Anolis sagrei: one gene and its partners. The protein of the gene in region 2 interacts with the protein of the main gene of each other region in a pairwise test. Links are inferred from orthologs where the notes say so. Each region holds a gene or a part of one and is shown on either strand. Other genes may lie near its edges.

Evidence for each region.
Region 1: the proteins of BHLHE40 (region 2) and NAA50 interact in binary tests that used the Homo sapiens proteins (3 or more experiments, as listed by UniProt). The two-hybrid records come from large-scale screens. The link is inferred for Anolis sagrei from reciprocal best matches to the Homo sapiens genes BHLHE40 and NAA50.
Region 3: the proteins of BHLHE40 (region 2) and STK19 interact in a two-hybrid assay, tested with the Homo sapiens proteins (2 studies listed by BioGRID). The two-hybrid records come from large-scale screens. The link is inferred for Anolis sagrei from reciprocal best matches to the Homo sapiens genes BHLHE40 and WHR1.

Annotation. Positions count from the first base shown.
Region 1 is NC_090022.1:165,332,961-165,340,367, forward strand, and holds the start of NAA50 (N-alpha-acetyltransferase 50), read right to left. Parts: upstream 3,011-7,407; 5' UTR 2,859-3,010; coding exon 2,851-2,858; intron 1-2,850. UniProt on the Homo sapiens protein: N-alpha-acetyltransferase that acetylates the N-terminus of proteins that retain their initiating methionine. Has a broad substrate specificity: able to acetylate the initiator methionine of most peptides, except for those with a proline in second position.
Region 2 is NC_090022.1:46,308,596-46,315,531, reverse strand, and holds the start of BHLHE40 (class E basic helix-loop-helix protein 40), read right to left. Parts: upstream 3,020-6,936; 5' UTR 2,606-3,019; coding exon 2,514-2,605; intron 2,009-2,513; coding exon 1,939-2,008; intron 561-1,938; coding exon 453-560; intron 1-452. UniProt on the Homo sapiens protein: Transcriptional repressor involved in the regulation of the circadian rhythm by negatively regulating the activity of the clock genes and clock-controlled genes.
Region 3 is NC_090022.1:18,154,336-18,161,629, reverse strand, and holds the start of STK19 (inactive serine/threonine-protein kinase 19), read left to right. Parts: upstream 1-4,284; 5' UTR 4,285-4,314; coding exon 4,315-4,315; intron 4,316-7,294. Other genes in the region: DXO (decapping and exoribonuclease protein), read right to left, coding at 3,852-3,866. UniProt on the Homo sapiens protein: DNA-binding protein which is required for efficient transcription-coupled nucleotide excision repair (TC-NER). Acts as part of a TC-NER complex which assembles and interacts with RNA polymerase II (RNAPII) when it stalls at DNA lesions.

The DNA of each region.
Region 1 (7,407 bases), about 120 Mb from region 2:
GCATTGCTGTGGCCAGCCTTCCCTCCTCCTTTCTTTCTCTCCTTCCTTTTCTTTTTTTTCTTTCATTCTCTTTCCTTCTCATCCTCTTCCCTTCCCCCCCCCCCTTTTCTTTCTTCCTTCTCTACCTATTTTTGGACTGCAACTCCCAGCAGTTCTTCTGATCTACCTACCTACCTCTATCTAATCCAGTGTTTCTCAACCAGTGGGTCCCCAGGTGTTTTGGCCTACAACTCCCAGAAATCCCAGCCAGTTTACCAGCTGTTAGGGCAGTGGCCAGGTTGTTAACTGGTGCCCCTTACAGGGAGCGGTCAACCTTCCTGTTTAAGGAGCTCCAGTGGCTGCCATTTATCTTCCGGACCCAATTCAAGGTGCAGGTTCTTACCTACAAAGCCCTGAATGGTTTGGGACCTGCCTACCTGCGTGACCGCATTTCTGTGTACAAACCCACACAATCTCTTCAATCGTCTGGAGAGGCCTTACTCACGCTTCCACCTGCATCGCAAGCACGATTGGTGGGGACGAGGGAGAGAGCCTTCTCGGTGGTGGCCCCTCGACTCTGGAACTCACTCCCTAAGGACATCAGGCATGCCCCATCTCTGGCAGTCTTCAGGAGGAGTTTGAAAACGTGGATGTTCCAGTGTGCCTTCCCAAAATAATGAACCCTTAGCATTATGTCCCCCAAAAGCACTTTATATCGATTTAGGACTGCTTGTATGTTTCTGTCAATGCCCTACCTCTTGTATCTTGTTCATGCCTAGCATTATTTTTTAAACTTTAACTACATTTGGCCCAGCCATATATTTGAATTGTGCACTGTATTTTGTTTAATGTTTATGCTTTTTGTGTTATGAGATTTATTTTAACTGCTTTGTATTGTATTGTTATTGTTTGTATTGTGGGCTCTGCCTCATGTAAGCCACACTGAGTCCCATGGGGAGATGGTAGTGGGGTATAAATAAAGTTTTAAATTTAAATTAAATTTCTAAGAGTTGAAGGCCAAAACATCTCCAGACCCACAGATTAAGAACCACGGATCTAATCTATTTATCTGGAGAATTGCTGGGAGTTGCAGTCCAGGAATAGGGATGCTCTCAAAGAAATCCAAGGAGAAGCAAGCTTGCATCTTGGAAGCAGTGCATTTGGATCCTCCTCCTCTCCTAAAGGGCCTGGTCTAGGGGATGCTGGGAGACGTAGTCCGGAAGAGTGTGTGGATATGCTATTGTGTGTTTTGGTTGCCATGTGCTGCAGCATATCTTTGGGGTTTTTTTTTTTTTTGCTTTTTAAGTCCCTTCTGCTGTGTTTCTCAGTGTTTTTATATGTGATGGTAACTCGTTGGCCTGATAGGTGTCTTGTATCCAAATTTGGTGTCAATTTGTTCAGTGGTTTCTGAGTTATGTTAACCCCACAAACGAACGTTACATTTTTATTTATATAGAAGACTAGCTGTGGCCCACTCCGGGAGTTCTGTGTGGGAGGTTTGGCCCAAATCGATCATTGCTGGGGTTCAGAATGCTCTGTGATTGTAGGTGAACTACAAATCCCAGCAACTACAACTCCCAAATGTCAAGATTCTATTTTCTCCAAACTCCACCAGTGTACACATTTGGGCATATTGAGTATTCATGCGAAGTTTGGTCCAGATCCATCATGCTGTGCTCTCTGGTGAACTACAACTACATTGTTTGAGTCCACAGTGCTCTCTGAATGTAGGTGAACTACAACTCCCAAACACAAGGCCAATGCCCACCAAACCCTTCCAGTATTTTCTGTTTGTCATGGGAGAACTGTGTGCCAAGTTTGTTTCAATTCCATCGTTGATGGGGTTCAGAATGCTCTTTGATTGTAGGTGAAATATTAATCCCAGCAACTACAACTCCCAAATGACAAAATCAATTTTTTTGAGTGAAGGACATACATTGGGTTGTTAGGTGTCTTGTGTCCAAATTTGCTGTCAATTCGTCCATTGGTTTTTGAGTTCTGTTAATCCCACAAACGAACATTATATTTTGATTTATTTACTAGCCGTCCCCTGCCACGCGTTGCTGTGGCCCACTCTGGTTGTCATGGGTGTTCTGTGTGGAAGGTTTGGCCCAATCCTATTGTTGGTGGGGTTCAGAATGCTCTGTGATTGTAGGTGAACTATAAATCCCAGCAACTACAACTCCCAAATTTCAAGATTCTATTTTCCCCAAACTCCACATTTGGGCATATTGAGTATTCGTGTAGAGTTTGGTCCAGATCCATCATTGTTTGAGTCCACAGTGCTCTCTGGATGTAGGTGAACTACAACTCCAAAACCAAAGGACACTGCCCACCAAACCCTTCCAGTATTTTCTCTCGGTCATGGGAGAAGTGTGTGTCAAGTTTGGTTCAACTCTATTGTCGGTGGGGTTCAGAATGCTCTTTGATTGTAGGTGAACTATACATCCCAGCAACTACAATTCCCAAATGACAAAATCAATTTTTGAGTGAAGGACATACATTGGGTTATTAGGTGTCTTGTGTCCAAATATGGTGTCAATTCGTCCAGTGGTTTTTGAGTTATGTTAATCCCACAAACAAACATTACATTTTTATTTATATAGATTACCTGCCTTGATATTGCGGGTTACATGTCTGTGTGGGAAAGCCCACTATGGAAACCGTTCCCGCGTGTTCCACTGGCGCGAGGGCCCCCCTCCGCGCAGGCCTCCCGCGCCTTCCTTCCCCCCCTCTTCCCACCCGCTGTCTTTGCGCGAGGCCCGGCAACACGAGCGGGCCCCCTCGCCTCAACTCCCGAAGACGGGCGGGGACGGCACACAACCACCGCCGCCGCCGGGTGCTGGTTGGGACGGCCGGCGCCGCACTCACCCCTTCATAGCTGCCGGGGGCCGGAGACCTCGACTCGGGGCTGGCGGTTGGGCGACTTCCGCCGTCGATCCACATGGGCCTCAGGCCGCTCCGACCGACCGCGCGGGCGAGCCAGGCAGCGAGCGTGCGCGCGCGGAGCCCCGCCCCTCTGGCCGACCTTTTGCCTTTCACGTCGGCGTGACGGCGCGCGCACTTCCGGCCGTGTTCCCGCGCGCTTTCCTGAGGGAGGCCTGTCAAAGAAAGCGGGCGGGGCCTGGTCCTCTCGACATGCGCAAAAGAGCCACAGCTCTTCCGCTGGGGGCCGGTGTTGTTCCTTCTCGCTACTTTGTACTGAGCCCCCCACTGTCCCCCAAAGTACAACCTAATATGTATTGTCGAAGGCTTTCATGGCTGGAATCACTCAGTTCTTGTGGGTTTTTTCGGGCTATATGGCCATGTTCTAGAGGCATTTCTCCTGACGTTTCGCCTGCATCTATGGCAAGCATCCTCAGAGGTAGTGAGGTCTGTTGGAAAAAAGGGAAAAAAGGGGGTTTATATATTTGTGGAATGACCAGGGTGAGACAAAGGGCTTTTGTAAGTTGGGCTAGGTGTGAATCTTTCAACTGACCACCTTGATTAGCATACAATGGGCTGACTGTGCCTGGAGCAAACTCTTCTTGAAAGGTGATTAGATGTCTCTGCCTGTTTTTCTCTCTGCTGTTTTTGCTGTTGCAATTTTAGAATTTTTTAATACTGGTAGCCAGATCTTGTTCATTTTCATGGTTTCTTCCTTTCTGTTGAAATTGTCCACATGTTTGTGGATTTCAGTGGCTTCTCTGTGTAGTCCGACATGGTGGTTGTGAGAGTGGTCCAGCATTTTTGTGTTCTCAAATAAAATGCTGTGTCCGGGTTGGTTCATCAGGTGCTCTGTTATGGCTGACTTCTCTGGTTGAAGTAGTCTGCAGTGCCTTTCATGTCCCTTGATGCGTGTCTGGGCAATGCTGCATTTGGTGGTCCCTATGTAGACTTGTGATGAGGAAACACAACATACAAACAATCTACAAACCCACCAAGAAAATCCAACAAATGCTACGTTCAGCAAAGGACAAGAGGGATCCTCTCACCTCTGCAGGAGTCTACCGTATACCATGCAGCTGTGGACAAGTCTACATAGGGACCACCAAACGCAGCATTGCCCAAACAAGAATCCAGGAACATGAAAGGCACTGCAGACTACTTCAACCAGAGAAGTCAGCCATAGCAGAGTACCTGATGAACCAACCTGGACACAATATATTACTTGAGAACACAGAAATGCTGGACCACTCTCACAACTACCATGTCAGACTACACAGAGAAGCCACTGAAATCCACAAACATGTGGACAATTTCAACAGAAAGGAAGAAACCATGAAAATGAACAAGATCTGGCTACCAGTATTAAAAAATTCTAAAATTGCAACATCCTAAACTACGTTCCCCAGAATTCTGCAGCTTTATCAACGCTTCCCCTCAACGCTTCTGTCACTGAAATACAGCCCCCCCCCCTCCAAATGGGAAGTTTGGTTTCACAACCCTGTGTATCTTTATGAGCACCTGGCAAATAACTTGCTCCTATTTTTATCTCATTATAGTTTTTAACATTTTAGCCTGTACAAGTGGCCCGTCCACTGTTTACTATGTCTGTGCTTTTTGTTGATTGTAATGCTATTTTGTTATTTAATTTTTAATGTAATTTTGATGATGTTGCTTGTTTATGTTTTGGTTTTATCTTGATGTAATATGTTGTTGTTGTTGATGGCAATGTTGTTGGCCATCAGACTGGAAAAAATCAACTTATATCCCCATACCAAAAAAGGGAAATGCGAAAGACTGCTCAAACTTCCGTACAGTGGCCCTTATTTCTCATGCCAGTAAGGTAATGCTCAAGATCCTGCAAGGAAGACTCCGGCAATACATGGAGAGAGAGTTGCCAGATGTTCAAGCTGGGTTTAGAAAAGGCAGAGGAACGAGAGACCAAATTGCCAATATCCGCTGGATAATGGAGAAAGGCAGGAAGTTTCAGAAAAACATCTATTTCTGTTTTATTGACTATTCTAAAGACTTTGACTGTGTGGATCATAATAAATTGTGGCAAGTTCTTGGTGGAATGGGCATACCAAATCACCTTGTCTATCTCCTGAGGAATCTATATAAGGACCAAGTAGCAACAGTAAGAACTGACTATGGAACAACAGACTGGTTCAAGATTGGGAAAGGCGTATGACAGGGCTGTATACTCTCCCCCAAACTATTCAACTTGTATGTAGAACACATCATGCGATGTGTGGGGCTTGAGGAATGCAAGGCTGGGGTGAAAATCCTGGAAGAAACATTAACAACCTTAGATATGCAGATGACACCACTTTGATGGCCAAAAGCGAGGAGGAGCTGAGGAGCCTTCTGATCAAGGTGAAAGAAGAAAGTGCAAAAGCTGGGTTGCAGTTAAACATAATAAAAACCAAGATTATGGCAACAAGAATGATTGACAACTGGAAAGTAGAGGGAGAAAACGTGGAGGCCGTGACAGACTTTGTATTTCTAGGTGAAAAGATTACTACAGACACAGACTGCAGCCAGGAAATCAGGAGACACTTACTTCTTGGGAGGAGAGCAATGGTGAATCTCGATAAAATAGTGAAGAGTAGAAACATCACACTGCCAACAAAGATCCGCATAGTCAAAGCAATGGTATTCCCTGTAGACATCTACAGATTTGAGAGCTGCACCATAGGGAAGGCTGAGCGAAGGAAGACAGATGCTTTCGAACTGTGGTGTTGGAGAAAAGTGCTGAGAGTGCCTTGGGCTGCGAGAAGATCCAACCAGTCCATACTTCAGGAAATAAACCCCGACTGCTCATTGGAGGGAAGGATATTAGAGGCCAAGATGAAGTAATTTGGCCACATCATGAGAAGATGGGAAAGCTTAGAGAAGACAATGATGCTGGGGAAAATGGAAGAAAAAAGGAAGATGGGCCGACCAAGGGCAAGATGGATGGATGGTATCCTTGAAGTGACTGGATTGACCTTGAAGGAGCTGGGGATGGTGACGGCCGACAGGGAGCTCTGGCGTGGACTGGTCCATGAGGTCACGAAGAGTTGGAAACGACTGAACGAATGAACAACAATATGTTGTTCGGGTTTGGCCCCATGTAAGCCGCTTCGAGTCCCCATCGGGGAGATGGTGGCGGGGTATAAATAAAGTTTATTATTATTATTTACTAGCTGTCCCCTGCCACGCGTTGCTGTGGCCCAGTCTGGTGATCTGGAAAATAAAGTAATTAGAAAGTATTAGTTTCTAATATATGTAATTCTTTTAGGCTTGTGAGTAAACAGTATTTCTTGTTGTTTCTTTGTCAGTGTTGATGTGGAGAGTGTCTGGTTTGCCCACCCTGGAACATGCAACATATCATAGTCCTTCTCTAGGGGTCTCTTTCAAATCTATGATACTATATCTGTGTGTGTGTGTGAGAATCATATCTATCTATCTATCTATCTATCTATCTATCTATCTATATCTATGGCTGGGAGTCCTATCTGCCAAGTTTGGTTCAATTCCATCATTGGTGGAGTTCAGAATGCTCTTTGATTGTAGGTGAACTATAAATCCCAGCAACTACAACTCCCAAATGTCAAGGTCTATTTCCCCCAAACTCCATCTGTGTTCATATTTGGGCATATGGAATATTTGTGCCAAATTTGGTCCAGATCTATCATTGTTTGAGTCCACAGTGCTCTCTGGATGTGGGTGAACTACAATTCCCAGACTCAAGGTCAATGTCCACCAAATCCTTCCAGTTTTATTTCTGTTGGTCATGGGAGCCCTGTGTGCTAAGTTTAGTCCAATTCCATCATTGGTGGAGTTCAGAATGCTCTTTGATTGTAGGTGAAATATAAATCCCAGCAACTACATCTCCCAAATGACAAAATTAAAAAAAATTGAGTGAAGAACATAGTTTGGGTTGTTAGGTGTATGCTGTCCAAATTTGGTGTCAATCGGCCCACTGGTTTTTGAGTTTTGTTCATCCCACAAACGAACATTACATTTTTATTTATATAATGATGATGATGATGATGAGTAGTAGTAGAAGTAGTAGTAGTAGTATTTATGCCCCTGGTGTGAAGTACAGCTGCATTAACCCTCCTGATTGCTGGCCTGAGCGACCTTGGGCAACTCACTCATTTCTAGATAAGAGTAATCTTAGGGTTGCCATAGGTCAGACACAACAAGGAATCTCTATCTATTATCTGGCAAGCCCGTCACGTGACTGAAAAGGTGGGGGGGGGGGCTGACCCTAACAGAGCTCTGCTTCCTGACTCACTCCTTATGCACGGAAAGTCTGCAGAACGTCGGACGAGGCGGAAGAGGAAGTGCACTTGGTTAAGCGCATGCGCACTAGATTCCCGGGGGTGGCAGACGCATTCACCTTCCTCCTGCGGCGTTGAAGGAAGCGAAGGAGCCAGCTGCTTCCGGAGGCGCCACAGCTCTGTCCTGTATCCCAGGTGAGGCCCCGGGACGCCCTTCCCCTCGGCCTGGACC
Region 2 (6,936 bases):
CTGATTGTTTCTTGTCTGAAATTCCCCTGTTTTTGAGTGTTATTCTTTATTTACTGTCCTGATTTTAGAGTTTTGCAGTGTTGGTAGCCAGATTGCATTAATTTTACACTGCAAATGAATCTTTTGTTAACTTAAAAGTTTGCCACCAGGAAAACAGGGAAGAAAAACCAAAATGCACTCTCCCTAACAAATCATTTGACTTATCCTGTTGCATCTTCAAATCCAATCCGATCCAGAGGTTCATGAACTTAGCAACAAAACCAAGTCCTATCAGGAAGCTCAAGGAAGCAATCCAACCCGAGACAAGACAACTCTCTCTCCCCGTTCACACCTGCACTGCTTCAGGAAACCTCTAGATGGCAACTTTACCTGCACAAAAAGCCCTGCAAAGCCAACCCAATGCCCAACGCAGAAGGAAGAAGTCTCTGGGCAGTGGCCAGATTTTCACTTACTGTAAGTTTGAGATGTTCTGGTAACAGATCTTTCAGCTGGGCAATGCATTCATTAATCCGATCTCGTCTTTTCTTTTCAATCAGCCGGTGGGGTAACTTGTAGGTCTCCTAAAAATCAACAGGTACCAAAAAATTATACAACCATTTCATCAGTTGAGAGGAAAAGTGATTTCTGAGCATAGTATTATCTGTCCAAATAGATTGGAAAAAATTATAAACATTTTCTTAGATCATTTTTTTTTGTTTTTTAAAAAACAGCATTACCAAACCCAAAGTTTATTGCAGATGATGTATTTTGATCATCTCCAGAAAATTATCTGATGCAACTATGAAGTGAGTTTCCTGGGCTGTATGGCCATGTTCCAGAAGCATTCTCTCCTGACATTTTGCCCACATCTATGGCAGGAATTTTCAGAGGTTGAGAAATCTATTGAAAACTAAGAAAGTCAGGTTTATATCTGTGGAATAACGTCCAGGGTGGGAGAAAGAATTCTTGTCGTTTGAGGCAAGTGTGAATGTTGCAATTGGCCACCTTGATTAGCACTGAAAAGCCTTGTAGCTTCAAAGCCTGGCTGATTGCTGCCTGGGGATCAACACTCAAAAACAGGGGAATTCCAGACAAGAATCAATCAGGGGCAATTAATCACCTCCCAACAAAGGATTCCCCCAGGTAGGAAGCAGCCAAGCTTTGAAGCTGCAAGGCTATTCAATGCTAATCAGGGTGATCAATTGCAACATGCCTCATCTTGCCTCAAACAGACAAGAGTTCTTTCTCCTACCCTGGATGCTATTCCAGAGATATAAAAACCTTGCTTACCTTGTCTTTGACAAACCACACAACATCTGAGGATGCCTGCCATAGATGTGGGTGAAATGTCAGGAGAGAATGCTCCTGGAAAATAGCCATACAGCCCGGAAAACTTACAGCAACTCAGTGATTCCGGCCATGAAAGCCTTCGACAACATATGAAGATATTGTTTTGCTGCATGATAAGGCAAATCCATGAGCATAATAACATTTTTGGAAAAATGAATACCCTCCACCCCACAAATAGAGTCTCCAAAAACAAATTTTGAGGGGCCATTGAAAATGAATGCTCTTTTGTATATGTTTGGGAAGACCATTACTTAATCTCAGAACGAAACTGGGTCAAAATTGAGTTGCTGTTGAGTTTTCTGGGCTGCATGGCTGTGTTCCAGAATCATTCTCTCCTGATGTTTTTCCCACATCTATGGCAGCCTTCCTCAAAGGTTGAGGGGTCTCAACCTCTGAGGATGACTGCCATAGATGCAGGCGAAATGTCGGGAGAGAATGCTTCTGGAACATGGCCATATAGCCTGGAAAACTCTCAACAATTCAATGATTCCAGCTGTGAAATCCTTCAACAACACATTGGGTGAAAACTATTCACTGAGGACGCTAAGAAAATACTAGTCAGTAAATAATAAATAAATAAGAAAAATGCTACGAATGTTCTGTATTTACCTTGCTGTCTTCGCCTCTTTTTAACCCTCTCCTGGGTTTATAAACTTGGTACATGTGAGCAAAGTCCAACCTGTTGATGAGCCAAAAGGAGAAAGATGTAAATGACTTGCAAGAATAATCCAGGAAGGTAGTCAATCCTCCCCATCCCTCTCCAAAACCTACAGAAGTAGCATCTACACTGCGGAATGAATGCAGTTCAAATGAATGCAGTTCAACGCCACTTGGCTCAGTGCTCGGGAATAAAGGGGGCTGGAGTTGTACTGCCACCTCCATAGCATTGAGACCTGGGCAGGTCAAAGTGGTGATAAACTGCATTAACTCTAAAGCGTAGACACAGTAGAGTGAGAAGAAAGAGGGCTAAGCTATAGAAAAGTTTGGAGAGAAGGAAAACAAGGGAGAGGAAATTGAGAGGTGTACTGCTTGTCCCAGGTGCAGAAAGTGAGAGCAGAGGTAGCCAAGGGAAGCACCATCCCAACCCAAGAGGAACCTGGTTGGAAAGCGATTTCAATCCCACACAGATAGATAGATAGATAGATAGATAGATAGATAGATAGATAGATAGATAGAGAGCTTACCCTGGCATCTCGTTGCCCTCCAACGTGGCCAGCTTGCCCAAGCAAGGCGGTGCTGGAGGAGGAGGAGGTTGGGCGCTGGGGATCCTTTCCATGGCCAACTGGGTGGCTTCTCCTTCCTCTTCTTAAGGTTGCCTCTCCTTCCTTCCTATCCTTCTCCCTCCGGTGAGCTGTTTTCCTCTAAGGATGGAGCCGAAGTCTCCAAGATCCCGCTTTGGGTCTCTCTCTCTCTGAGTCGGCTTTCCTTTTTTTCCTAACAGGACTTTCTCCTCTGGTGGTTCTCCTCTCTCTCTCTCTCTCTGGGTCAAAAGGAGAGGCGAGTTCTGTCTGTGCTTCAGGTGGGAGAGCCTTTGCGGCGCGTCTCTGCAGCGCCTCTTTCTCCTCCTTCGGTGCGGACGGAGGACAGAGCGATCCGATCCGCCCTGTGACTGACTTCAGGCACGTCTGGCCGCGGCTGCTTCTGAAGCCGGAGAGGGAGGGAGGAGAGGAGAGGAGAGGAGGAGGAGGAGCGGGCCTGCCTCTTCTCCCTTCCTCTGCCCCCCCCCCGTCCCTCCCCGCCTCCCTCCTCGCCTCCCTCCTCATCACATGAGCCTCACGTGTCGGACAACGCTCCGGCCTCCCTCCCTCCCTCCGCTGTGGCCAGGAGCTTCCCTGCCGCCGCCTCTGCAAACGTGACCCAGGGCTGCCCTGGGAGGGCCCCGGAGGAGGAGGAGGAGGAGGAGGAGGAAGGCCTGGCCCCACTGCAACTGCTCCGCTTATCCCATCGCATGAAGAAAGCCCTGGCCAAACTCCAGGGAGGACCCTCGACTTGGAAGACATCCTCCCCCCCCCCCAAGGGCCATCCAGTCTGACCCCTTGGCATGCAAGGAAAGCACATTCAAGGCGCCTCCCACAAAGGACCACCCAGCCCAACTTCCTGACACACAGCGAAAGGGACTGTCTAAGCACTCCCGACAGATGGGCATCCACTACAACCTTCTGACATGCAGGAAAGGCACAATCCAAGCACTCCCGGCAGATGGTCATAAAGTTCAACCCCCTAACAGACAGGGAAAGCACAATCAAAGTACTCCCGGCAGATAGACATCCAGTCTAACCTCCCAACATGCAGGGAAAGCACAATCAAAGCACTCCCGGTGGATGGCCATAAAGTTCAACCCCCTGACACGCAGGGAAGACACAATCGAAGCACCCTCGTCAGATAGCCATCCAGTCTAACCTCCTGACATGCAAGGAAAGCACAATCAAAGCACTCTCTACAGATGGACATCCAGTCTAACCTCCCAACGTGCAGGGAAAGCACAAAAACACTCCCGGTGGATGGCCATTAAGTTCAACCTCCTGACATGCGGGGAAGGCACAATCAAAGCACACCCGGCAGATAGCCATCCGGTCTAACCCCCTGACATGCAGGGAACTCTCTGCCCCGGAGTGGTGTGGTGGAGGCTCCTTCTTTGGAAGGTTTTAAACAGAGGCTGGATGGCCATGTGTCAGGGGTGCTTTGAATGCAATATTCCTGCTTCTTGGCAGGGGGTTGGCCTGGATGGCCCATGAGGTCTCTTCCACAATCAAAGAACTCCCTGAAGATGGACATCTAGTCTAACATCCTGACACGCAGGGAAAGCACAATCAAAGTACTCCCGGCGGATGGCCATAACGTTCAACCCCCTGACACGCAGGGAAAGCACCACTGACAGATGGACATCCAGCCCAAGCCTTTGACATGCAAGGAAAGCAGAATCATAGAATCATAGAGTTGGAAGAGACCTCATGGGCCACCCGGTCCAAACCTCTACCGAGAAACAGGAAAATCGCATTCAAAGCACTCCCTGCAGATGGCCATCCAGCCTTTGCTTGAAAACCTCCAGAGAAGGCGACTCCTAGGCAGTGTAGTTCTTCCTAAAGTTCGTCCTAACGTTTACACGGAATCTCCTTTCCTGCCATTGGAATCCATTCCTCCAAGGTGTCCTAGTCTCCCCAATGTGGCACCCTTTCACTGATTCCAAGGTGGCTGTCATGTCCCCTTCCCTCAGCCTTTTCTCCTGCAAGCTACACACCCCCAGCTCCCTAAACTACTCCTCATTGGGCTTGGCTTTCGGACCCTTGCTCATTGTGGTCACCCTTCCCTGCCAACATCCTGAAGTGCCCAGAAATGGACACAGTCTTATTCCAGGTGAGGTTTTTTTCGTGTCAGGAAACTGCAAGTCGCTTCTGGTGTGAGAGTATTGGCCGTCTTCAAGGACGTTGCCCAGGAAACGCCCGGATGTTTTTGATGTTTTACCATCCTTGTGGAAGGCTTCTCTCATGTCCCCACATGGGGAGCTGGATCTGACAGAGGGAGCTCATCCGGGCTCTCCCCAGATTCGAACCCCCGACCTGTCGGTCTTAAGTCCTGCTGGCACAAGGGTTTAACCCACTGCGCCACCGGGGGCTTTGTGACCAATAGGGTGGGGTTATGGCTTCCCTGGATCTTGACACTGGACTCCTCTTGAGGCAGCCTAGAATGGCATTGGCTTTTGGGTTTCTAGTGTGGGGAGGAGGCACCAGCCCTTTCAGGCAAAGACAGATCCCAGGCTTCCATAGGGTACAGCGGTGGCACTTAAAGTAGGCTCAACCTGCCTTCCCTGCCTGGAGCTCTCCAAAGGGGGACTTCCGACCAGGAGCGGCTTCGGAGTAAAGCCAACGCGTTGGAGTTCCGGAGAAGCAGCCGCGGCACCCTCGCTCCATCACGCAGCCACGCATGCGCACAGGCGTTGTCACTGGAGAGGGGATTTCAGGAGAATGCCTCCCAGCTGCTTCTCTTACTTGTACGCAAGGCTATGCTGTGCCCTGCTTGCAAAAAAGAGTAGCAGGCATGCAGTCATTTGTTTTCCCTCAATGCTAAGACTCGATGGATGTGTCTAATGTAATACAATATAATACTACTACTAATAAATATATAATATAATTATAATTACATGTAATATAAAATATATAATATAATTATATATTTTTATATTACATGTAATATCTTCTATCTTTTCTATATAAATAAAAATGGAATGTTCGTTTGTGGGATTAACAGAATTCAAAAACTTCTGGACGAATTGACATCAAAATTGGACACAAGACACCTAATAACTCAATGTATGTCCTTCACTAAAAAAAATGATTTTGTCATTTGGAAGTTGTAGTTGCTGGGATTTATAGTTCACCGATAATCAAATAGCATTCTGAACCCCACAGGCCCGTAGCCAGGATTTCATTTCGGAGGGGGCTAAATTTTTTCAGGGGGGGGTTCGGGGGGGCGAGTTTCGGGGGGGGGGGCTGAGTCTGAGTGAAAGAGGGTCTAGCCTAGCAAACCTTTTGTATCATTACCCCAATACCCCCATGCATATGGGATATATTTATTTATTTTATTTATTTATTTAGTACACTTGTATACCGCTAATATCTCAGCCTAGAACGGCGACTCATTGCGGTTTACAACAATAAAACAATATTCCGAATAAAAAAATATAAAAACACATATATATACAATACACAGTATTGGGCCACCAATACAGACCAATGCATCTCTTAAATTAAAATCATAATCCAAATTCGTTGTCTGTAATTGCCAGTCCTTAGTCAAAACTTCATCGCATCGGATTAGCCAAATGCTTGCTCAAACATCCATGTTTTCAGTTTTTTTCGAAATACCATCAGCGAGGAGGCTGATTTTATCTCTATAGGGAGGGCATTCCAAAGCCGCGGGGCCACCACAGAAAAGGCCCTGTCTCTCGTACCCGCCAGCCGCACCTGTGAAGCAGGCGGGATGGAGAGAAGGGCCTCTCCCGAAGATCTTAGGGTCCTGGTGGGCTGATAGGCCGAGATACATTCGGATAGGTATGTTGGGCCAGAACCGTTTAGGGCTTTAAAGGCCAATGCCAGCACTTTGAATTGGGCCCGGTAGCTAATCGGCAGCCAGTGGAGCTGGTACAGCAGAGGAGTTGTATGCTCCTTGCGCCCTGCTCCTGTTAGTACCATGGCTGCCGCCCGTTGGACTAGTTGGAGCTTCCGAGCCGTCTTCAAAGGCAACCCCACGTAGAGAGCGTTGCAGTAGTCAAGGCGGGATGTAACCAGAGCGTGGACTACCGTGGCCAAGTCAGACTTCCCAAGGTACGGTCGCAGTTGGCGCACGAGTCTTAGCTGTGCGAATGCTCCCCTGGTCACCGCCGAAACCTGGGGATCCAGGCTCAGCGATGAATCCAGGATCACACCCAAACTGCGAACCTGTGTCTTCAGGGGGAGTGCGACCCCGTCTAACACAGGCTGTAGCCCTATACCCTGTTCGGCCCTGCGACTGACCAGGAGTACCTCTGTCTTGTATTGAGTATATATTGAGTATGGTGATCAGATCATGATATGAATAAATAACAGTTTAAATAATGCACCAGTAAGGCCT
Region 3 (7,294 bases), about 28 Mb from region 2:
TTTAAATATGAAGTGTTTTCAACACAGTGAATCGCAGTGCTCTCTGGACCATCCTCCAAAATTCCTGCGGCTCCTCCATGATGACATGATACCAATAGTCTTGGACAGCAATAGCTCCCAAAGTGACCCATTTAAGGTGGAATCAGGTGTCAAACAGGGATGTGTTATTGCCCCAACCTTATTTTCCATCTTCATCGCTATGATACTGCACCTTGTTGATGGGAAGCTTCCCAGCAGAGTGGATACTATCCATCGGACAGACGGCAAGCTATTTAACCTCAGCAGACTGAAACCCGAAACCAAGGTCACAACAGCATCTGATATAGAACTCCAATATGCTGATGATAATGTAGTGCTCATTCAGAAGAAGACCTACAAGCCACACTAAAAACCTATGCAGAAGTATACAACAAAGGAACCCCCGGTGGCACAGTGGGTTAAGCCCCTGTGTCAGCAGGACTTAAGACCGACAGGTCGAAGGTTCAAATCCAGGGAGAGGCGGATGAGTTCCCCCTATCTGCTCCAGCTCCTCATGCGGGGACATAAGAGAAGCCTCCCACAAGGATGATAAAACATCAAATCATCCAGGCGTCCCCTGGGCACCATCCTTGCAGATGGCCAATTCTCTCACACGAGAAGCGACTTGCAATTTCTCAAGTCACGACAAAAAAAAAAAAGTATACAAAAAGTTTGGCCTCTCACTGAACATCCAGAAAACCAAGGTACTCTTTCAGCAGGTATCAGCCAATTCTTCTGCAATGCCAGAAATGCAATTTAATTGATGTCTCTGTTGTTGTTCATTCGTTCAGTCGTCTCCGACTCTTTGTGACCTCATGGACCAGCCCACGCCAGAGTTCCCTGTCGGCCGTCACCACTCCCAGCTCCTTCAAGGTCAAGCCAGTCACTTCAAGGACACCATCCATCTTGCCCTTGGTTGGCTTCTCTTCCTTTTTCCTTCCATTTTCCCCAGCATCATACTCTTCTCTAAACTTTCCTGTCTCCTCATGATGTGGCCAAAGTACTTCACCTTTGTCTCTAGTATCCTTCCCTCCAGTGAGCAGTCGGTCTTTATTTCCTGGAGGATGGACTGGCTGGATCTTCTCGCAGTCCAAGGCACTCTCAGCACTTTCCTCCAACACCACAGCTCAAAAGCATCGATCTTCCTTCGCTCAGCCTTCCCTAAGGTCCAACTCTCACATCCGTAGGTTACTACGGGGAATACCATTGCTTTGACTATGCAGATCTTCGTTGCCAATGTGATGTCTACTCTTCACTATTTTGTCGAGAGTGGTCATTGCTCTCCTCCCAAGAAGTAAGCGTCTTCTGATTTCCTGGCCACAGTCTGCATCTGCAGTAATCTTTGCGCTTAGAAATACAAAGTCTGTCACGGCCTCCACATTTTCTCCCTCTATTTTCCAGTTGTCAATCATTCTTGTTGCCATAATCTTGGTTTTTTTGATGTTTAGCTGCAACCCAGCTTTTGCGCTTTCTTCTTTCACCTTGATTAGAAGGCTCCTCAGCTCCTCCTCGCTTTCGGCCATCAGAGTGGTGTCATCTGCATATCTGAGGTTGTTAATGTTTCTTCCGGCAATTTTCACCCCAGCTTTGCATTCATCAAGCCCCGCACATCGCATGATGTGTTCTGCATACAAGTTAAAAAGGTTGGGTGAGAGTATGCAGCCTTGCCATACGCCTTTCCCAATCTTGAACCAGTCTGTTGTTCCGTGGTCAGTTCTGACTGTTGCTACTTGGTCCTTGTACAGATTCCTCAGGAGAGAGACAAGGTGGCTTGGTATGCCCATCCCACCAAGAACTTGCCACAGTTTATTATGATCCACACAGTCAAAGGCTTTAGAATAGTCAATGAAGCAGAAATAGATGTTTTTCTGAAACTCCCTGCCTTTCTCCATTATCCAGCGGATATTGGCAATCTGGTCTCTCGTTCCTCTGCCTTTTCTAAACCCAGCTTGAACATCTGGCAACTCTCGCTCCATGTATTGCTGGAGTCTTCCTTGCAGGATCTTGAGCATTACCTTACTGGCATGTGAAATAAGTGCCACTGTACGAAAGTTTGAGCAGTCTTTCGCATTTCCCTTTTTTGGTGTGGGGATATAAGTTGATTTTTTCCAACTCGGATAGTCATTCTTGTGTTTTCCATATTTGCTGGCATATGGCATGCATCAACTTGACAGCATCATCTTTCAAGATTTTGAACAGTTCAGCTGGGATCCTGTCATCTCCTGCTGCCTTGTTGTTAGCAATGCTTCTTAAGGTCCTTTCAACCTCACTCCTCAGGATTTCTGGTTCTAATTCATTCACCACACTGTCAAAACTATCCTCAATATTATTATCCATCCATACAAAGGGCATTTGATCTATGTTAATTTATTAATATCTGTTTGTTTGTATTTTATTCTGTACAATTTCGCTATGTAAATCGCCTAGAGCATCTCGGATGGAGGGCGATTAATAAGTAATTAAAGATGATTAATAAGTAATTAAAGAAGAGAAGGCTGAGAGGAGACATGATAGCCATGTATTATTATTATTATTATTATTATACTTTATTTGTACCCCGCTAGCATCTCCTGAAGGACTCGATGCGGCTTACAAAGGCCAAGGCCTCAACACAACAACAACAGACAATAACAATACAATACAAAGCAAATTAAAAAACATAAAGCAATAACAAAAACATTACACTATTACGCAACAAACCAGGGCCGGGCCAATGATGGGTACAGGTTAAAAGTGCTGGGTGTGAGAGGTGATATGTTGGGATTCTGGGCAAGTGCAATGTGCAGAGAGTCTTAAACTCTAAGAAAGTGCTTCTGGAACGTAGTGCTGGGGTTATCCTATTCTGGAAAGGCACATCGGAATAGCCAGGTCTTCAAGTTCTTCCTAAAGACTGCCAATGTGGGTGCTCCCACGTTGGGGAGGGGAGATCATAGGGAGGAGGGATCAAGCTTGTTTTCTGCTTCCCTGGAGGGTAGGACGCAGAACAATGGCTTCAAACTACAAGAAAGGAGATTCCATCTGAACATTAGGAAGAACTTTCTGACTGTGAGAGCCGTTCAGCAGTGGAACTCTCTGCCCCAGAGTGTGGTGGAGGCTCCTTCTTTGGAAGCTTTTAAACAGAGCCTGGATGGCCATCTGTCAGTGGTGTTTTGAATGCAATTTTCCTGCTTCTTGGCAGAATGGGGTTGGACTGGATGGCCCATGAAGTCTCTTCCAACTCTAGGATTCTATAATTCTATAAGTTCTCTTCCAACTCTATGATTCTATGATTTTAAGTCCCGCACATCGCATGATGTGTTTGCATACAAGTTGAATAGGTTGGGTGAGAGTATCCAACCCTGACATACACCTTTCCCAATCTTGAACCAGTCTGTTGTTCCATGGTCACTTCTTACTCTTGCCATTTGGTCCTTATACAGATTCCTCAGGAGAGAGACAAGCCATCCAGTCCAACCCCATTCTGCCAAGAAGGTGGCTTGGGATGCCCATCCCGCCAAGAACTTGCCACAATTTATTATGATCCACACAGTCAAAGGCTTTAGAGTAGTCAATGAAGCAGAAGTAGATGTTTTTCTGAAACTCCCTGCCTTTCTCCATTATCCAGCAATTTGGCCTCTGGTATCTCTGCCTTTTCTAAATATATTTGTGAATATCTTAGTATTGTTATTATTACTGCGAATCCTATTGTTCTTATTATCAACAACAATAATACTAATAGAGCCTAGGCAGCAGCAGCAGCAGCAGCACCCACTGGGGAGGATTCAGGTCACAAAACCAAAAGAAGCAAAACCTCTTCGCTTTCTGTTCTGACCCTTCCCGGCACTTGTACTGACCTGCTCTGACGTCATCGCAGGGCAGCCAATCGCTCGCCTCCCAGAGGACCGAGGGAACGCGAGGCCAAGCTGCCTGGTTTCCTTTCACGCTCCCCTCCTTTCAGCCATTTACTCACACGCCCGACATCTTGACCCAAAACAACGCCAGGTTTCGTTTCTTGGCGGCAGCGACGGCGTGATGACGCCATCCCCAGCCGCCGCTCGGAAGCTTCGTGCCCTTTCCTAGCTTGCCTTTACCAAAGATGGCGGCAGGAAAGCCCATTGGCCGGCTCAAACTGTCAATCACGCCTTTTCGCCCAATGAGGGGCGAGTATGCAAATAAGGCCCCGGGCCTGGAGAACAGCGTGACGTCATGGCAAAAAGAGGAGGAAGAGGGCAGCTGAGGAAGGAGGGTGTGATGTGTGGCTGAATCTCCCTAAGCAGGGCCAGCCCTGGTGAGTATTTGGGTGGGAGACCGGAACTTAGTAAGTATTCATTCCTTGTGGGTTTTTTCAGGCTATATGGCCATGTTCTAGAGGCATTTTCTCCTGACGTTTCGCCTGCATCTATGGCAAGCATCCTCAGAGGTAGTGAGGTCTGTTGAAACTAGGAAAATGAGTTTATCTGTGGAATGACCAGGGTGGGACAAGGAACTCTTGTCTGCAGGAGCTAGGTGAGAATGTTTCAACTGACCACCTTGATTTGCATTTAATGGCTTGGAAGTGCCTGGGGGGAATCTTTTTTTGAGAGTTGATTAAAAGGTAAAGGTTTCCTTTGACATTAAGTGTAGTTGTGTCCGACTTGGGGTGTGTGTGTGTGTGTGTGTGTGTGTGCTGATCTGTATTTCTAAGCCAAAGAGCCAGCATTGTCCGTAGACACCTACAAGGTCATATGGCCAGCATGACTGCATGAACGGTTTGGGACCAGCCTACCTGTGTGACCGCATTTCCATCTACGAACCCACGCGTTCTCTTCGGTCATCTGGAGAGGCCCTACTCGTGATCCCACCGGCGTTGCAAGCGCGCTTGGTGGGGACGCGGGACAGGGCCTTTTCCGTAGTGGCCCCCCAACTCTGGAACACCCTCCCCAAAGACCTTAGACAGGCCTCTTCTTTGGCTATCTTCAGAAAGAACTTAAAAACCTGGCTTTTTCGATGCGCCTTCCCAAATTAGGAAATCTCCATTACCGAGTCCTACAAACACTTTACCAGAACCAATGATTGCTGCACACCGCACATCGCACTTGCCCTAGAAACCCTTTATACACCTCCTGTCAATTCAGCACTTTTAATCCTTGTACCCACTTTTTTGGCCCGGCCCAGTTTTATTGTGTTTTAATGTACTGTGCCTGTTGTTTACTTTGCTTTATTTTGTTTTAATTGTTTGATTTGCTTGATTGTGTTGTTATGTTGTGTTGTTGAGGCCTCGGCCTGTGTAAGCCGCATCGAATCCTTTGGGAGATGCTAGCGGGGTACAAATAAAGTTTAATAATAATAATAATAATAATAATAATGAAGCACTGTTACCTTCCTGTAGAAGCAGTACATATTGATCTACTCACATTTGCAAGTTTTCGAACTGCAGAAGCTGGGGCTAACAACGGGAGCTCATGCCACTCCCCAGATTCGAACCGCCAACCTTTTGGACAGCAAGTTCAGCAGCTCAGTGGTTTAACCTGCTGTAATACTGGGGAGAGGGCGTGGATAGATAGATAGATAGCTTTGGATAACATAGAATCATAGAATCAAAGAGTTGGAAGAGACCTCATGGGCCATCCAGTCCAACCCCCTGCCAAGAAGCAGGAATATTGCATTCAAATCACCCCTGACAGATGGCCATCCAGCCTCTGTTTAAAAGCTTCCAAAAAAGGAGCCTTCACCACACTCCGGGGCAGAGAGTTCCACTGCTGAACGGCTCTCACAGTCAGGAAGTTCTTTCTCATGTTCAGATGAAATCTCCTTTCTTGTAGTTTGAAGCCATTGTTCCGCGTCCTAGTCTCCAGGGAAGCAGAAAACAAACTTGCTCCCTCCATAGGGAAGGTTTACCACCCCTGTGGTGTTTGTTTTCTTGTCCGTGCCCCTCTTCAGAAGATTTCATTTCTCTTTCTGTCATTGGGACCACTGGATTTTGAAAAAAAAAATGGCTTGTTGTGGAAACAAGGATTGGTGCTAAAGTTCCAGTGGAGACATCTTTTCCACATGATAATAACTCTTCCCAGAGTGAATTTTGCTTCCTAGTAGTAGATTAATTTCACTTCCTGTTGTCTCACCCCCATTCTTAACTATGAGCCGTTTCTAAGCCAGATGTTTGTAACTCAGGAATGGACAGTATATCAAGGAAGGGGGAATTCTATAAATCAGGTAAAATAAGAAACAGCAACACCGAATCTGAACTAATCCTAAGAAGACAAATCCCTATTTGATCTAATTGCTATAGGTGTGATGCTCATCCTTCTTGTTTGACTAGTTCCCTATCCTGGCATACACAAAACATTGAGGAGCTGCAGTTCTTCCTGGCATAGTAATGTAGCCATAAGGAAATGCGGCAATTTTGTGCTTAATTGTAGAGTTGGGAGAGACACGATCTAGTCCAACCTCATTTTGCGAGGCAGGAATGCATACACAGTCATACCATTCCCAGAAGATGTCAATCCCATCCTGAAAATTATTATCATGGGGAAAAGGTCTCTCCACAAAAGGTTTATCACCAATCCTTGCTTCCACAACAAGCCAAATTCTCAAAATCCCATTTTCACAGGGACAGAAAGTGAGTTGAAATTTTCTGACCAGGGGCACAGACATCAAAACATACAACTTATATATTACCTATCCAACGCTCATAATAATTAATAATAAATTTCTATCTCCCACGGGGGACTCAGGGCAGTTTATACATACAAAGACAAATATTCAGTGCCTGGCACACACACACACAATTCTATCTATCTACCTATGGATATAATTTTATTTATTTATGATATTTCTATCCCGCCTTTCTCGAACCTGAAGGTGACTCAAGGCAGCTTACAACTTGGCTGGAGTTAAAAATGCACCTGTTCCGACTTGCAAATATAATCAACTAAAGAACAAACCTACAGAACCTCTCATTCATAAATTGGGGACTGCCTATATTTTAAAACAAATGTATGATAGATTTGCGTGAGACATGTTATGTCCCCTTTACATTTCGTAACAGGAGAGTTTTGCTTATCCAACCTTCTCTTATCCAACTTTCTATATTATCCAACACAGTCTGCCGCTCACCCAGATCCACAGCTATTTCAATACATTGCGATGTTTTGGGGCTAAATTCATAAATGCATTAATTACTATATAACGTTACCGTGTATTGAGCTGCCTTTTCTGTTGGTTTGTTGTAAAACATGATATTTTGATGCTTAATTTGTAAAATCATAACATAATTTGACATTTAATAGGCTTTTCCTTAATCCCTCCTTATTATACT